Linked DNA regions of Arabidopsis thaliana. The protein of the gene in region 1 purifies or fractionates together with the protein of each later gene. This does not show direct contact. Each region holds a gene or a part of one and is shown in the gene's direction. Other genes may lie near its edges.

Evidence for each region.
Region 2: the proteins of TPP2 (region 1) and AT5G23540 fractionate together in Arabidopsis thaliana (co-fractionation; one large-scale study listed by BioGRID). This does not show direct contact.
Region 3: the proteins of TPP2 (region 1) and AT3G18190 fractionate together in Arabidopsis thaliana (co-fractionation; one large-scale study listed by BioGRID). This does not show direct contact.

What each region holds. Positions count from the first base shown.
Region 1 is NC_003075.7:11,166,324-11,172,350, reverse strand, and holds the start of TPP2 (tripeptidyl peptidase ii), read left to right. Parts: upstream 1-2,279; 5' UTR 2,280-2,461; coding exon 2,462-2,894; intron 2,895-3,096; coding exon 3,097-3,175; intron 3,176-3,256; coding exon 3,257-3,330; intron 3,331-3,424; coding exon 3,425-3,534; intron 3,535-3,660; coding exon 3,661-3,741; intron 3,742-3,844; coding exon 3,845-3,931; intron 3,932-4,026; coding exon 4,027-4,169; intron 4,170-4,290; coding exon 4,291-4,441; intron 4,442-4,520; coding exon 4,521-4,643; intron 4,644-4,877; coding exon 4,878-4,961; intron 4,962-5,062; coding exon 5,063-5,250; intron 5,251-5,329; coding exon 5,330-5,504; intron 5,505-5,605; coding exon 5,606-5,727; intron 5,728-5,800; coding exon 5,801-5,880; intron 5,881-6,027. UniProt on the Arabidopsis thaliana protein: Serine protease of the proteasome pathway that may function with the 20S proteasome to degrade oxidized proteins generated by environmental stress.
Region 2 is NC_003076.8:7,935,540-7,941,050, forward strand, and holds AT5G23540 (Mov34/MPN/PAD-1 family protein), read left to right. Parts: upstream 1-2,090; 5' UTR 2,091-2,232; coding exon 2,233-2,362; intron 2,363-2,552; coding exon 2,553-2,730; intron 2,731-2,821; coding exon 2,822-2,903; intron 2,904-3,084; coding exon 3,085-3,261; intron 3,262-3,352; coding exon 3,353-3,520; intron 3,521-3,608; coding exon 3,609-3,800; 3' UTR 3,801-4,065; downstream 4,066-5,511. Other genes in the region: AT5G23535 (KOW domain-containing protein), read left to right, coding at 332-391, 482-577, 973-1,076, 1,165-1,301, 1,506-1,588; AT5G23550 (Got1/Sft2-like vescicle transport protein family), read right to left, coding at 4,375-4,453, 4,650-4,708, 4,829-4,946, 5,076-5,149, 5,318-5,371. UniProt on the Arabidopsis thaliana protein: Metalloprotease component of the 26S proteasome that specifically cleaves 'Lys-63'-linked polyubiquitin chains. The 26S proteasome is involved in the ATP-dependent degradation of ubiquitinated proteins.
Region 3 is NC_003074.8:6,230,111-6,235,629, forward strand, and holds AT3G18190 (TCP-1/cpn60 chaperonin family protein), read left to right. Parts: upstream 1-1,997; 5' UTR 1,998-2,115; coding exon 2,116-3,726; 3' UTR 3,727-4,073; downstream 4,074-5,519. Other genes in the region: AT3G18180 (Glycosyltransferase family 61 protein), read left to right, coding at 160-316, 402-497, 609-1,768; UMAMIT4 (nodulin MtN21 /EamA-like transporter family protein), read right to left, coding at 4,399-4,564, 4,645-4,796, 4,891-5,284, 5,372-5,488. UniProt on the Arabidopsis thaliana protein: Molecular chaperone; assists the folding of proteins upon ATP hydrolysis. Known to play a role, in vitro, in the folding of actin and tubulin.

The sequences.
Region 1 (6,027 bases):
ATTATTAGATGTAGACTTCCATTGTTACAAAAAGCCAACAAAAAATAATTTCAAAAATAAATAAATCAGAATTAAAGGGCATTTCCTTTTACAGTTATATCCATTTTAAGTATTTTTGTCAACTTTAGAGCTTAACGTTGGTTTGTCAAGAGTCATGGTGTAGATGGATATTATTACACAAAAATGACTTCTAGCTAACATATTAGAACTACTAATAATAGTAGATGTTTCGGAAAAAATAAAATTCATAAAGATAGATGTCTATATTTGAAATTTGTGTAACATTTTGTATTTTGTCCTTGTTAGTTATTAGAATGAAGAAAACATTATAAATATAAATTCTAATAGGATTTGGTAAAAACTAATTTTAGCATGTGTACAAACCCTTAGAAATCTGTTTTTGTTTTTTGTGCCAACAATCTTCAATTAATATACATAAACTTTATAAAACAGAATGAGTAACACTTACACTTACAAGTTTATTGGGTCTTTCACTCTTCTGGATAACAATATTTTCTAGATTAACAATCTGACTTACGCTTAAAACCTACACAAACGGTGTATAAATTCCACACTTTTATTCTTAAAATACATAGTTTTCCTTGTATAAAACTTGTAAGCGTTATATACATAGCTGGAGCAAATTAAAATATATAATCAAGTTGCTAGTATGAAACAAAGAAAATTGAATGTCCCATACTCTTGTATTCAAAGGATTTTAAAAATGACGTCTTATATTAATACAATTTTATCTCACTTAGGAGGAAGATTATAAATAAGTTTTAAAAAAAGAAATGAAGCGTTAACGTCGTCATGCTTGATGTCAACTCTATGGCATTGCTCAAAAAACGTGTCAACGTTCTTACATTCTGGAAGTCTTTGATTTGGTGATGCATTGAATATTTGAATGATATAGTGTTACAAATAGATTCGTAGTTGTACTTCTCTCACAACCACAAACACCTAATCCGAATCAAGATTTTTGCACTTGTTTTGGATATATATGTCATACCAAAAAAAGGCAACGAGAAAAAATAGGGTCAAAATTTTGATTAGATATAGCTGAAGCTAGAAAGCAAACCCATGATGAGAAGAACACAATAACCGTCCAATTTTTCTGAACGTGAGGGATCTGAGTAAGCAAGTTTAAAAGATTCAAGAAGCTTTCTAATAATATCAAATTTATCAACCCCACTGATCCCTGTTAAGATTCAGCTGTGTGTTCGAAACTCCCATTACAAATGCATGCATATACCTATGAGCAATATCTATAAGGTTTTCTTTAAAGCAACAACGATTGTTGGTAGAGACCGAAACACACACAAATCTTATAATATGCTTCATGACTTTTGAATTTTGCTGTCATCAAATGATGCTATACTATACCCCCATTTTCAGGGATTCTTCAGATATATCCACATGACATAACTAACACAAGTTTTAGCCATTTCAATTAGTCTGACAGATCACAGACCTCACATACCGTATAAGAAAATAGTTAATTACAAATCAAATGTGGTAGTCCTAACTTTATCAAATAAGTTATGCTATTGCTCAGTCTAATCATATAGGAACAAAGTGTGATCAACTGATCAATCTCTAGTCTCTACAAGACTACAACAAACAGATAATAAAGTACAATATTCAAAATGTACAAACAACACATAACAAAAAAATTAGGAAAATTCAGATGAGTGAATGTAAAGTTTCCATATATATTGATAATATTATCTACCATATTTGGAAGCAAAGAAATAATGTTCTCCACAACAACCAAATCATCCCTCCTCCAATTATCTTTAAGAATATTGATCGAGATATCCGCAACGCTATCTCGGGTAGAAGGCATAAGAAAAGATGGCGGAAGTTCATGCTTCTTTGGATTCGATAGCTCGGTCTTTTCTTTGTTGTTCTTGAATATATTGTAATCTTGTTTTTTTATCTTTTTTGCCAAGATTGCACTATCATTAGGTAAAGCTCTTTGTAATACCTTCAATTTCATTATATGATATTTACAAGTCAGCAAAAACATATATATATTATCATATGGGTGGTATCAAAATCAGATGTTCAGTCCTAAAACAATAAAACCAGCTCACAAATCTACTAATCATATTTTTAGTTTAATTCTCACCACGAAGAATTAAGCTAAAGACAACAACAATGGAGAACAATCTCATACACGAGCGACCAAAAACCCAAGAAGCAATCAGATTAAGGTTATGTCCAATTATAAAAGTCAAAACAACAATTAAAGACTATGTAACTAAGAAATTAAATCTAAATAATATCGTTATCTAGATAGAGCAAGCGAAAGCCACCAGTTGGAGTAAGCCACCACCAACTCCATTGACACAACAATTCACAACCCAAAAGACCTCTAACGAGTGACACGATTCGGTGCATCGACTCAGCTGTTATTTGACCAAAATACCCCTGTTAATTAACACACATCCCGAAGATGGATCTGAGTCTGCAGCTGCAGATTCACGGCGCGTTAATCAACAAAGGCCCGTCGTGTACTTCTTATTGGGCTTCTTCTTCTTCACTTTCTCTTCCTCGCGATTTCATTTCTTCTTCTACGTTTCTTCTTCATCGAAGACTCAGAAGAAGAAGCTGCTCTCGTTCTCGTGGAATCCGATTAAGACGGAGTGGTTTCTCGGCGATGCCTTGTTCTTCTTCTGATACTCTTACGGCTTCTCGCGTCGGTTGTGGCGGAGGAGGTGGTGGTGGAGCCGTTGGCGGTGGAGCTGAGAATGCTTCTGTCGCTAATTTCAAGCTGAACGAATCTACCTTTATTGCTTCTCTCATGCCTAAGAAAGAAATCCGTGCGGATTGCTTCATCGAAGCTCATCCTGAGTACGACGGTCGTGGCGTTGTTATAGCTATCTTTGGTACTTGGATATTCTCTCGTTTTGTATTCTCTAGATTGAATTTGTGAATGGAGAAGTTTTGTATAAGCCTTATGTTATAGTTGGGTTGCTTATACTTGGATCAGATAGTAGAGCGATTGTTTGGTTCTTAAGAAGGTGTTGTAACTCTCCAAGTAAAAATTCTGATTGAGGAACTGAGCAAATGGAATTTTGTGTTTTCCAGATTCTGGTTTTGATCCTTCTGCTGCTGGCTTGCATGTAACTTCTGATGGAAAACCCAAGGTTTTGGACGTCATTGACTGGTATAGTTTTGTGATTTAATTGAATTTTGCATTTAGTGTTCTTTGACTGTGGCGTGATGGTCATTTTACGTTATCGTTTAGCACTGGAAGTGGAGATATAGATACATCCACAGTGGTGAAAGCCAATGAAGATGGTCATATTCGTGGAGCATCAGGTTGGTGATTTGAGAGGTTTTATGATTTCTGCATGATAGTTTGCTTTCTCTTTCTTGCTACGATATGCGTTGATAATTTCTTTTGTTTAAACAGGGGCAACTTTGGTTGTCAATTCTTCATGGAAAAATCCCACTGGAGAGTGGCGTGTAGGTTCCAAGTTGGTTTATCAGTTATTTACAGATGACTTGACTTCTCGTGTGAAGGTAGCGATTAGAGTTGTGACCTTTTTGGCTGTTGGATTACTTTCATCTACTCATTAAATCTTATACCAGAGTTTACATATCTGGTCTGCAATCCCATTTGCTAAGACTTGTTTTGTCATTACACAGAAAGAGAGAAGGAAATCCTGGGATGAAAAGAATCAGGAGGAAATTGCCAAGGCTGTAAATAATCTGTATGATTTCGATCAGGTACTAGGGAGATGCTGATTGTGGTTTGCTGTATTGTAGATGTTATGAGTTAGACAGTGCTACTCAATTCTATCATAACCTCATTTTTCATTCTTGCCTCCAGAAGCACAGCAAGGTGGAAGATGCGAAATTGAAGAAAACTCGTGAAGACCTCCAAAGCAAAGTTGATTTTCTGAAAAAACAAGCTGATGTAAGTTTAGAGACCGCCCTTTGGTAGTTTTATGTCTGTGTACTTGTTCGCTGTGGTCTTGAATCTGTTCTGTAAATCAATTGTTTTTTCTGTAGAAATATGAAGACAAAGGGCCTGTTATTGATGCTGTTGTGTGGCATGATGGAGAAGTATGGAGGGTTGCACTTGATACACAGAGTCTGGAAGAGGATCCAGATAGCGGGAAACTAGCAGACTTCTCCCCACTGACTAACTACCGGCAAGTCTTCCTTTAAACATCTATCTCTTATGAAAGTTCAGGAACTTTTCGTTTGGAAGCATGATTTGTTCACCAATTTTTTTATTTTATTTTATTAATCTCAATCAAATATGTACTACAGAATTGAACGGAAGTATGGCGTGTTTAGCCGACTAGATGCATGCTCCTTTGTTGCTAACGTGTATGATGAGGGAAAGGTTCTAAGCATTGTAACTGATAGTTCTCCTCACGGCACTCATGTTGCTGGAATAGCTACTGCACACCACCCTGAGGTGCAAAACGCATCTATATAATTTAGATACATTGATGATTTGTTGCAACCAATTAACTTACCTTCTATGTGTATGTTAGGAGCATTTGTTAAATGGTGTGGCACCTGGTGCACAAATAATATCTTGCAAAATTGGAGACTCGCGATTAGGTTCAATGGAGACCGGAACTGGATTGACTCGGGCATTGATAGCTGCCCTAGAGGTAATAATTCATCAGCTGATATGAATTTACCATTAGCTGAAAATCATTTGTAACTTCGTGAAAGTATATTGTATGAAGTTTGAACTAAACAAGTCGTATATCTCTTGAATTACTTAAACATCACGAAGAATTTCATATATTTGTGGATTATTATATGTGAGGTTTGCATTGACACAAGTCAATACGTTCAATGTTTCTTTTTTGTATATACTGACTTTTATAATAATGTTACAGCATAACTGTGATCTTGTCAACATGAGCTATGGAGAGCCAGCATTACTTCCAGACTATGGGCGCTTTGTTGATCTTGTTACTGAAGTATCATTCAAATCCTTTTGTCTTTATTTGGGCAGCACTTATTAGCTTGTATTTTTTGCTTTTCTTCTAGCGTTTATGGACTTTCTGCCATGTTTTATTAGGCTGTGAACAAGAGACGTCTAATTTTTGTAAGTAGTGCTGGCAACAGTGGTCCAGCTTTGACAACAGTCGGAGCACCGGGTGGAACAACGTCCAGTATCATTGGGGTTGGTGCGTATGTTTCTCCTGCAATGGCAGCAGGTGCCCATTCAGTGGTGGAACCTCCCAGTGAGGGGCTTGAATACACTTGGTATTTTCACCTTTTTTAACTTTGGAATTATTCTACAGCTAGTTGTAGCTGGCATGATATAGTTATTGTTATATTGTAGGTCAAGCCGGGGGCCAACATCTGATGGAGATCTTGGTGTCTGCATAAGTGCACCTGGTGGGGCTGTTGCTCCTGTTCCTACATGGACGCTTCAAAGACGCATGCTCATGAATGGAACATCAATGGCATCTCCTTCTGCCTGTGGGGCAATTGCGTTACTTCTAAGTGCTATGAAGGTTTCTTCTTCAACATTACTTTTTATTTCTGCACATCCGTTTCCTATTCCGTTCTTTTTAGTTCTGCTGCTGAGTGCTGACATTCTTTCACACTTCTGCAGGCTGAGGGCATCCCAGTTAGCCCGTACAGTGTGAGAAGGGCCCTTGAAAATACATCTACACCAGTAGGTGATCTACCTGAAGATAAACTAACTACTGGACAAGGGCTTATGCAAGTTGATAAGTAAGGTTCTATACTGTGTAATTAATTTGACACCATATTTCAGATAATTTATGTATTTATTTTGTTATGACAGGGCATATGAATACTTAAAACAGTTTCAGGACTATCCATGCGTATTTTATCAGATAAAGGTCAATCTCTCCGGTAAAACAAGTATGTAAACGAATAATTTGAACTTCTTTAAAACAATTTCAAGCTAGTAGCTTATTGAAAACTTGCTTACTGGAACCTAGCTACTAATTTAAGGGCTTCCTGCTGTTACATTGGGAAAGTTTCCTAAGATTTTGGGGTTTTTCGATA
Region 2 (5,511 bases), on another chromosome or scaffold:
CTCAGAGGCAAGCTTCTTCTATTAGACCAAACTTGTTTTCGCATCCTAATTGTCAATTTCGGCGATATCATTTCTAATCATCAATTTTCTCCCTTTTCGAATTAGATCGGAATTATGTATAAATTTTTTGGTTGCGTATCTTTGACGTGAAAAAACCCTAATTTAGGTGGCTTTCCGCAGTTGAAAACCCTCGAAATTGGCCCTGCCATTTTCAATTTCTTTGATTTGGATTCTTCATGCTTTCCGTTTCTCGTTGTTTTTTTTGTTAGAAGAAAGACGTGAATTTGTTGTGATGTAATTTTTAGGATTATTCTCAAAGAGAGTAGCAGCTATGGGCTGGAAAGCTGCTGAGAAACTCATCAGACACTGGAAGATACTTCGAGGAGACAATGTGAGTACACCACTCATGTTCTTCTTGTGGTGTTCATTAGTTTGGTTTCATTTTTGATCTGTTGTTTCTGGGGTATGATTTTATGTGCAGGTAATGATAATTCGTGGGAAAGATAAGGGTGAGACTGGAACCATAAAGCGTGTCATTCGATCCCAAAATCGTGTCATCGTTGAAGGGAAGAATCTGGTGAGATAGTCTTGTTCTGGATATCTTTTGTTCGCTCTGTCTCATGCATTTAGAGAATGAATGTACAAGTTCATTTTTTGATTTTTTTGTTCTTGATTTGGTTTGTAGAGTATGAACTAGTACTGAATCAATATCATATCACTAGCTCAACACCAACCATAGAGTTATCAATTTTCATTTGATTCTCATTTTTTTAATCCAAGCATCAAGTAGACGGTTACTAAATCACAAAGCGACTCTAGTTCCATGGATTTCGCTACACAATTCTTTTGAATTGTTTATCTTGAAACTGTTATCGTTTTGGATGTTCTACCTTGCTGCTGGGATAGTCTTTGTCTACTCACTGAAGCTTGTATATGTTTTTCGCTGATGCTTTTTTTTTCCTGTGTTCTCAGATCAAGAAACATATAAAGGGAGGCCCTGATCACGAAGGTGGAATTTTCACTGTAGAGGCTCCTCTTCACGCCTCAAATGTCCAAGTTGTTGATCCTGTCACTGGGTATGATTTCACTCTGCACTACTGTCTCCAATTACTCTTTTGCTCAAGCGAGAGATCACTTATTAATCTATTATCTTTTCTACCACAGGAGGCCTTGTAAGGTTGGTGTAAAATACCTAGAAGATGGAACAAAAGTAAGAGTAGCCAGAGGCACTGGCACATCTGGTTCCATAATTCCCCGACCAGAGATTCTAAAGATAAGGGCAACGCCGCGACCCACAACTGGTACATAGAAGCTCAATATCTCTTTAAACGTTGGATTTTGGAAATATATAGTGGAAGTCTGTTAGCTATCTGAGAAAAAAACATAATCATAGATCGGCTATAAGATAAACATAGAATCAACATAATTCGTTTGCTATCAACATAATCAACAAACTTGATAGTAGCGGTTTTCTTATAGAAGGATTCATACTTTTCTCTTTGCAGCTGGCCCTAAGGACACACCAATGGAGTTTGTCTGGGAGCAGACATATGATGCTAAAACTGGAAAGGGCATGCCTGATCTTTGAGTTGAAACCTCTCTACAGTTTCGTTTGGAAAATGTTGCCTGCTCTCAAAAAGGATTCTTCTTTTTCCCATCCATTAGAGTTTGATTTCGGTCTAGAGCTGTGAGGTTTTGTTGGAGAACCTTTGATCATGACTGAAACGGAGTCGTTTTCCTTTTTTCTTTCATTGATCTTGTGAACTTTCAAGGTGCCAAATAAAATCCGTCTGGAAAACAGTTCAATATTTACATGTTTAGTTATTGTATATACACTAGCCAGAAGTCTAAACATAAAACGAAAACTATAAGCTCTAAGTAAAGTAGATTTATATTATGCAACCGAATTAACAATATTAACACAATGACATGATTTGCATTGTAATGAAATTTAAAATTTTGACAAAAAAAATATGGAAATTCAAATTGGTTATTAACTTTTATTTTTGGGGATGATTTGGAAATTTGGTGAATTATTGGTTACAATAAATAAAAGGAAATATTGAAGGACTTATATGTAATTAGTGTCGCCTAATCGAGTAATTCGATCCATCTTCGTCTGTCTTGTTAACAAAGAAAACTGAGAAAGGTTTTCTTATAAGATCCCATTCTTGTAGCAAAAACCCAGAAGAACAAACTTTCGAAGAAGACGACTAATCAATTCATCTGATTATGGAGAGACTACAGAGAATCTTCGGAGCTGGTGGCGGTTTAGGTCACGCATCGCCTGATTCTCCGACTCTCGATACATCGGAGCAGGTTTACATCTCTTCTCTCGCTCTCCTCAAGATGCTTAAGCACGGTAATCAATCCAAACCCAAGCTCTAATTTAGTCTTCTCTTGCTTAGGGTTTTATGATTTTGTCTCGTTCTCTGTGATTTTACTCTCGTCCTCTTTTGCTCTGGAACTCTAGGGTTTTATTCGATCTGTTTCTGAGATTCAAAATGCGGATTTGAGTAGAGATTTAATGAAAATTGATCGGAATATTGCAGGAAGAGCTGGTGTTCCTATGGAAGTCATGGGATTGATGCTTGGAGAGTTTGTGGATGAATACACTGTTAGGGTTGTGGATGTTTTTGCGATGCCTCAGAGTGGTACTGGTGTTAGTGTTGAAGCTGTTGATCATGTTTTCCAGACTAATATGCTCGACATGCTTAAACAGACCGGAAGGTAACTAGTTCTTCTCTAAACCTATTTACTACGCTTAAGTGAGGTTTCCTATTTAGGTTTTGGATCTGATTCTTCTTGTATCTTGTTTCAGACCTGAGATGGTGGTTGGTTGGTATCATTCACATCCTGGATTCGGCTGCTGGCTTTCTGGGGTTGACATTAATACTCAACAGGTAGAGTTTTGTTTGCTCTGTTTGCATACTTATCAATTTGTGAATTGCACTTGAGAATTTGTTGTTTGCTTTATTGATGGCTCAAAAAACTAAATAGAATGTTACTCATTGTGTTCTATACCCTGTTGTGATTCACTTTGTATTATATATGTTCATTGTGAATATCTGTGTGCTTTTGTAGAGTTTTGAAGCTTTGAATCAGCGAGCTGTAGCAGTGGTGGTAGATCCGATTCAGAGTGTGAAAGGAAAGGTGGTGATTGATGCGTTCCGCTCCATAAATCCACAGACCATTATGCTTGGGCAGGAACCCCGTCAAACAACATCGAACCTTGGGCACTTGAACAAACCATCGATCCAGGTGATTATCACTAACTGAATGTGTCCTGTTTTTAAGTTGAAACGAAATCAAAGGTTTTCTCTGATACTGACTTTTGGATACTACTATGCAGGCTTTGATTCACGGGTTGAACAGACACTATTACTCAATAGCAATCAACTATAGGAAGAACGAGCTTGAGGAGAAGATGTTACTCAACCTCCACAAGAAGAAATGGACAGATGGTCTGACGCTAAGACGCTTTGACACCCACTCCAAGACCAACGAACAGACGGTCCAGGTAAAGAAACACAGGGTTATGTTTTTATCTGTTCAAGCATATTCTACAATCATGTTCATTGACATTTTCATTATCTCCTGTTTAACAGGAGATGTTGAGCTTGGCTGCTAAATATAACAAGGCGGTTCAAGAGGAGGACGAGTTGTCACCAGAGAAGCTGGCAATTGTGAATGTGGGAAGACAAGATGCAAAGAAGCATCTGGAAGAACATGTCTCGAACCTCATGTCATCCAACATTGTTCAGACACTAGGCACTATGCTCGACACTGTTGTCTTCTAGAGAGCTTACTTCTCCAGCCGCTTCAAGTCATTGAGCTTTGTTCTTCTGCATCTCTTTGGCTTCTACTGAATGTTCTCTTTTTATCTGCTAGCTTTTTACAAGGTTGTACTGTACTATGTGATTTCGTTCGTTAAGGGCAGGGATCGATTTCTATTTCTTTGCATATTATTTTCAGATTTTATTTTCCTCCCATTTTTAGATTTTATGCTGCAACTTTCAAGTTAAGTGCTTTTGATAAGAATATGCAATTTCCCTCCTGGATTAAGTCTTTAGCGTAACCATGACAATGAAACTAAAACAAGTGAAGTTAACATCTTAATTTTGTAGCAAACAGCAATAACATCCAAATCTACGTTAAGTTCCACAGCAAATATACAAAAAACTGTGCTAGGATTTGTGAAGACGTGAACTTGATGTAAAGAGGCAATTATAAGCCATAAAGGGCATGGCACGTTACCGGTGCATCAAACAAGTCCTGCTTTGAACACATTTGGAGGAGATTGACCAATCGTTCAGCCAGAGCATCAAGGTTTTGGAACAAGAAATCTTTGACCTGATGTGTGTAAACTGTAGCTTAAAACTCGGTGTCAAAACAAGTCATGAAGATCTTTGAGACCATGGTTCTTGCAAAAGGGATGTAGCTCAAGCTATACCTGCAGTTTTAAAGAACACAAGGGATTCATTCTCCAAGATGAATGTTGACAGCTTTTGTGACAAACTCAGAAACCGTATAAGGAGCATTAGGTCCACTCGGGATAATATACTATTCGAAGAGTATATATCATGTAATTGTATTACTAAGAAAGTTAGGATAAAAATGTAAGAGCTTGAAAGCAAGTTTTAGCATACCAAATTAGACCAGTGAACTCAAGAATGATAGCCAGCAGTGTCAGAAGCTTGTTGCGAACCTGTACAGAAAGATGATGACAGATTATATTTAGTCCAACAAGGCATTTTCACTACCTAGTTTTAACTGAACATAAGCAATGTTGTGCATCCAGTATTTTGAATTGAGAAACCCCACTTACATAAAGAGCACAAAACAAGGCAATGATAATGCTTGCTAGATACAATGCAGTAGCGTAGATACGAGCTGGGTCAAGCATCATAGTCACCTGCCGCTGTGGGCCTATAAGGAATGCTGTGCTGCCATACAAAAGTGACATGAAACTTAAAATCCAGGAACAAAGAGAGAAAAATGGAGAAATACTGTACACACAGAATTGCGACACCAATGCAATATAACAAGAAGCTACACAAAATTCCAATACGAACCTCCCGAGTGCCATCAAATTTCCCAGAGTGAATGTGATGCCAAACTTGACCGGATTAAAGAAAACAAGCATCGACTGCATCGTCAAACAAATAAGAGATAAAGAGTTATATCACCAGTAAAAGAGCTAAGACAACCCAAAGTACAGAAGAAGAATACAGCTAAACCAATCAAATGATTCCTTTCAATGCAGAAATAAGGATAGTGCTTTCTAACATTGCTAAGACTTGAGAGTTATACTTACCAAAAGTGTACAGGTCAAACCTGCTGACAAGCAAATTGCAAAGCCATAAAATCTCTGTTTTCATAAACAAAAAAAACGAGATATTAGCCAAAGACAAACCCAATTCAAGATAATTTAACAGATTCTTGTAAACGAGACAACACTACAGGTTCATAGAGGAGCTAAATCCAAGTAGCGTCCTAATTTTTTGTAGT
Region 3 (5,519 bases), on another chromosome or scaffold:
CAGATAATATCGTCAAACAAATTCTTAAATACCTCACATAATCCTCTCGCTCTCCCACCTAGCTTGACCTTCATATCTCTACATTAGCCAGTAAACTCTGATTATAGAGTTTCTTGCTGAAGAAGAAAGAAAAGTTTTGTGTAACTTAAGAGTCAAGAGATGACAAAGAAGGATATTCTTTACGATACAGTACTTGCTCGTAGTTTTAGCAAAACTGATCAGAAGAGACTTTGCTGTGGAGCTTTCATTGCCTCTCTTCTCTTGGTCCTCACTCTTTGCACTGTCGTTAAACCTTATCTCAGCCCTTTACCAATCGGTAAGTCTCTTACCACGTTTTGCCGAAAAGCCAGATAACGCAAAAACAATCATTTTAACGTGTATCTCTTTCTTTCTTTCTTCAGTGGAGTTACAGTTATCAGTTGGCACTGGTCTAAGGATGCTGAGTATAACAGAATTAACTACCAACACTACAATCTCCAAAGAAGAAGTTATTTCAGGTCAATATACTTCAGAATTTTCTCTACAATTGTCTTGTTATGGTTTTTAGTCATTTTCTGTATAGTATGATACAGTTTGTTCTTTTGATTTTGTCCTGACTGAATCTTCAGAGTGCAATAAAATGGAGAAACCTATCTGTCACTGTAACACACTAGGAAGCAAAGAGTTTTGCGATGTAAGCGGCGACGTAAGAATCCATGGTAAATCCGCAACTGTTCTTGCGGCGGTCACGTTTGCGTTTTCCGGGAATTCCACGTGGTATATGAGACCTTATGCGAGAAAAGACCAAGTTCCTGCCATGAAACGCGTGAGAGAATGGACGGTGAAATTAGTACAAAACGCTAGTTTATCACGCTGCGTTAGGAATCACAGCGTTCCGGCGATTCTTTTCTCTCTCGGAGGCTTCTCGTTGAACAATTTCCATGATTTCACGGACATCGTGATTCCTCTGTACACGACGGCGCGTAGATTCAGCGGTGAAGTTCAGTTCCTCGTGACGAACAAGAATCTTTTGTGGATCAACAAATTTAAGGAATTAGTGAGGAAACTCTCTAATTACGAAGTGATTTACATCGACGAAGAAGACGAAACGCATTGTTTCAGCAGCGTCATCGTTGGTCTCAATCGCCACCGTGATTATGACAAAGAGCTAACGACTGATCCTTCGAATTCGGAGTATTCAATGTCCGATTTCCGGAAATTCCTCAGAGACACATACTCATTGAGAAACTCCGCCGTGACTACGAGGCGGAAGCCACGGATTCTGATTTTGTCTAGGAGCAGATCGCGAGCGTTTGTGAACGCGGGTGAAATCGCTAGAGCGGCGAGACAAATCGGATTTAAAGTCGTGGTGGCGGAAGCAAACACGGAAATCGCGAGTTTCGCAATAACTGTGAACTCCTGTGACGTGATGCTCGGCGTTCACGGCGCGGGGATGACGAACATGGTGTTCTTACCTGATAACGCGATCGTGATTCAGATTCTTCCGATCGGTGGATTCGAGTGGCTTGCAAAGATGGATTTCGAGTATCCGTCGAAGGGCATGAATCTGAGGTATTTGGAGTACAAGATCACGGCGGAGGAGAGCACACTGGTGAAGCAGTACGGACGCGATCACGAGTTCGTTAGAGATCCATTGGCCGTTGCAAAACGCGGGTGGGGAACTTTCAAGTCGGTTTATTTGGTACAGCAGAACGTTAGCGTTGATATAAACCGGTTCAAGCTGGTTCTTGTCAAAGCTCTTGAGCTATTGCATAATCAGTCAGTGTAAATAAGTAACTTTCAAGCATTCGTGTACTGTAATCTTGGGAACGAAATAATTACCAGATCATTTGGTCTAGTTTAGATTTTTCTCAAATTTGTTTAACCGTCCCCTTAACAAACACTCAAGTCTGAAGTCTGAACCAATAACTGGGCCTTTTGGGCTAACTCATAAAAACTCAAAACAGGCCCATTTATCAAACAATAGCGTATACCCTAGGGCTTTTTTCAAATTCTCTATTCTCTCTTTCATTTCCAGAACACTCTTGTCACACTTCCATTTAGGGTTTTCTGCAAATTTCTCCGTTCGAGATCAATTCCGTCGAGATCTCAAGCTCTCTCACTCGTAGTAAAAAAATGGCGGCGGTAGCGGCACCAATGGCTTCGAAGCCCCGTGGATCTAAAGCTGAATCGTTCGTAGACAACAAGCGGAGAGAAGATATCCGATTCGCGAACATCAACTCTGCTCGAGCAGTCTCTGACGCCGTCCGTACTAGTTTGGGACCGAAAGGAATGGACAAGATGATTTCCACGGCGAACGGAGAGGTAATCATTACTAACGATGGAGCTACGATCCTTAACAAGATGGAGGTTTTGCAGCCAGCGGCGAAGATGTTAGTCGAGCTTTCCAAATCTCAAGATTCAGCCGCCGGAGATGGTACCACAACTGTCGTAGTAATCGCCGGTGCGCTTCTCAAGGAGTGTCAATCGCTTCTCACAAACGGGATCCACCCTACTGTCATTTCAGATTCGCTTCACAAGGCGTGTGGTAAGGCGATCGATATTTTGACTGCCATGGCTGTTCCAGTGGAGCTCACTGATAGAGATTCACTTGTGAAATCTGCGAGCACATCGCTTAACAGTAAGGTTGTTAGTCAGTACTCTACATTGCTTGCTCCTTTAGCTGTAGATGCGGTTCTCTCTGTTATAGATCCGGAAAAGCCTGAGATTGTGGATTTGCGTGATATTAAGATTGTTAAGAAGCTTGGTGGGACTGTGGATGATACACATACTGTGAAAGGTTTGGTTTTTGATAAGAAGGTTAGCCGTGCTGCTGGTGGACCGACTCGTGTGGAGAATGCTAAGATTGCTGTGATTCAGTTCCAGATCTCACCTCCTAAGACTGATATCGAGCAGAGTATTGTTGTCTCTGATTATACTCAGATGGATAGGATCTTGAAAGAAGAGAGGAATTACATATTGGGGATGATTAAGAAGATCAAAGCAACTGGTTGCAATGTGTTGTTGATTCAGAAGAGTATTTTGAGGGATGCAGTGACTGATCTATCTCTTCACTATTTGGCCAAAGCTAAGATTATGGTTATTAAGGATGTTGAGAGAGATGAGATTGAATTTGTCACCAAGACATTGAACTGCTTGCCTATCGCCAATATTGAGCATTTCAGAGCTGAGAAGCTTGGCCATGCTGATCTTGTTGAGGAGGCCTCCCTTGGAGATGGAAAGATTTTGAAGATCACTGGTATCAAGGACATGGGGAGAACTACATCTGTTCTAGTTCGTGGCTCCAACCAGCTTGTTCTAGATGAAGCTGAAAGGAGTTTACATGATGCCTTGTGTGTGGTTAGGTGTCTAGTGAGCAAAAGGTTTTTGATTGCAGGAGGTGGTGCACCAGAGATTGAGCTCTCAAGGCAGCTCGGTGCTTGGGCTAAGGTGCTACATGGGATGGAAGGTTACTGTGTGAAGTCTTTTGCTGAAGCTCTCGAAGTTATTCCTTACACACTAGCCGAGAATGCAGGGTTAAACCCTATCGCCATTGTGACTGAACTCAGGAACAAGCATGCTCAAGGGGAAATCAACGCAGGGATCAATGTGAGGAAAGGACAGATCACTAACATCTTGGAGGAAAATGTTGTTCAGCCTCTGCTTGTGAGTACCAGTGCGATCACTTTAGCAACTGAATGCGTTAGGATGATTTTGAAGATTGATGACATCGTAACTGTGAGGTAGTGTGGTAGTTTCTTTCAAAACAGGTCCCAGAACACTTCTATTGCTCTATCTAAGCTTTTGTTTCGTTTTTTTCATGTGTTGTGCTTGCACAATGGTTTTGAACTTAGACTCCCTTTTCTTGCAACATGTGCTATTGCAGTTAAGTGGCTTTATTTGTGGTTTAGTGCGATTGTATTTCTTTCTAGTGACTTGTGATATCAAGATCTCTCAGTTTTTTTTGTTTCATATGTTGATTTAGTTTTGGTTATGAAAGTCCAAATGGTAGGAGTAGAAACAGAACTTTAATTACTGGGACTCAAATATTTGATGCATGATGGGTCACAAAATCAGTTGCCTATCTGGTTAATCATAGACTGGGTCACAAATGTTATAGATTCGTTGTATGAAAGATTAAGACAGTACACAGTTGCATGAACATGAGTTCTCCAGGTCATTGGTCTGTCTCCAACCAGACCGGATCAGAACATTTGCTTCTCTATTGTCAACTTTGATTTAATGTTACCATCTTTTCATTTTTATTCATAAATAAATTGCAACCCAATTTTGATTACAACTCAAAAGTAAACGACTAGGATATCAATTGTATGAGAGACCCACTTGAGGAGCCTGTGTGTTGGCCAAGTTCTTGTATGTGTATGTACAGAGAAGTAATGCGTTGTGTTTGCAGCACTTTTACACTTCAGATTCAGAATTACTCTTCTTGTGTTGTGCCTCAAGTAGATGTTTGGTCAGTGACTCTGGATCTTGTTGACTCTCTTCAAGAGCCAGTTTTCTTTCTTCGTTTTTGCCCCAAAGAACTAAGTAGAGCCCTAGCATTATAAACACTGCACCAACAATCCTGCAAAGCCAAAAAGATTCTATTAGATCGAGTAATCGAGAGAAACAAAACCCGATACATCCCGTTTTCAATGCGCTTACCCTCCCGAGTATAACTGATCACCAAGAATAAGAAACGCCATCGCAGCAACAAGAAGTGTCTGGAGAGGCTGGAAAACAGCGACAAAAACTGGACCGCTTTTGTAGATACACCATGTTTGAAGATAAACCACCAACCCTGACGCTATTATTCCCTGTAAACACGGCCAAAGGAACATTCATTTAGCTAATTTCCATTGATTCAGATCAAGGAAAAGGAAGAGAGAGAGACAGAGGGAGGGAGCTTACGGCGTATAGGATGGTGAAGAGCTCTTCCCAAGAGACGATGATCCAATTATTTAGATCAGTTTCCACAAAGAGAGCAATAACCAGAAACTGAATCAGACCAAAGAAACATGTGAAGGATGTTAAAGTGAGCTTCGCCGGGTATTGCTTTAGAACAGGAGCTTGAAGAACCATCCAACCAGCCCATGACAGACAATGTCCCATAAGGTATAACCATCCGAGTGTCAAGCTGTGCGAGTTGTCAGATCCGACCACCTCTTCCTTTTGCATGTTAAGGCCCTGGTCAAATATCGGAAATCCTCTGTACAATGTGATCACGGTGGCTCCACCGATGCTCACAAGAGTTCCCAATACTTTTGCCACACCATGTTTCCTGACCAGGTCTATGTGCTCTAGCCTTGATTCATAGAGGAAGATCAATGTTAGACCCAGCCATGAAAATGATTAGAATGGTATTTCTAGGAGGACGAAGTTGCTAGGGTACCTTAAGGCACAAGCCATGATGAAAGTGATGGCAGGAACAGAGTTCTGCATTGCGGAAGCAAAAGTTGGAGTTGCATAGTAAAGTCCTAATAGGTAGAATCCTTGGTTCGCTGTGATGCTGATGTTAAAATACACAAGCAAAGTTTCAG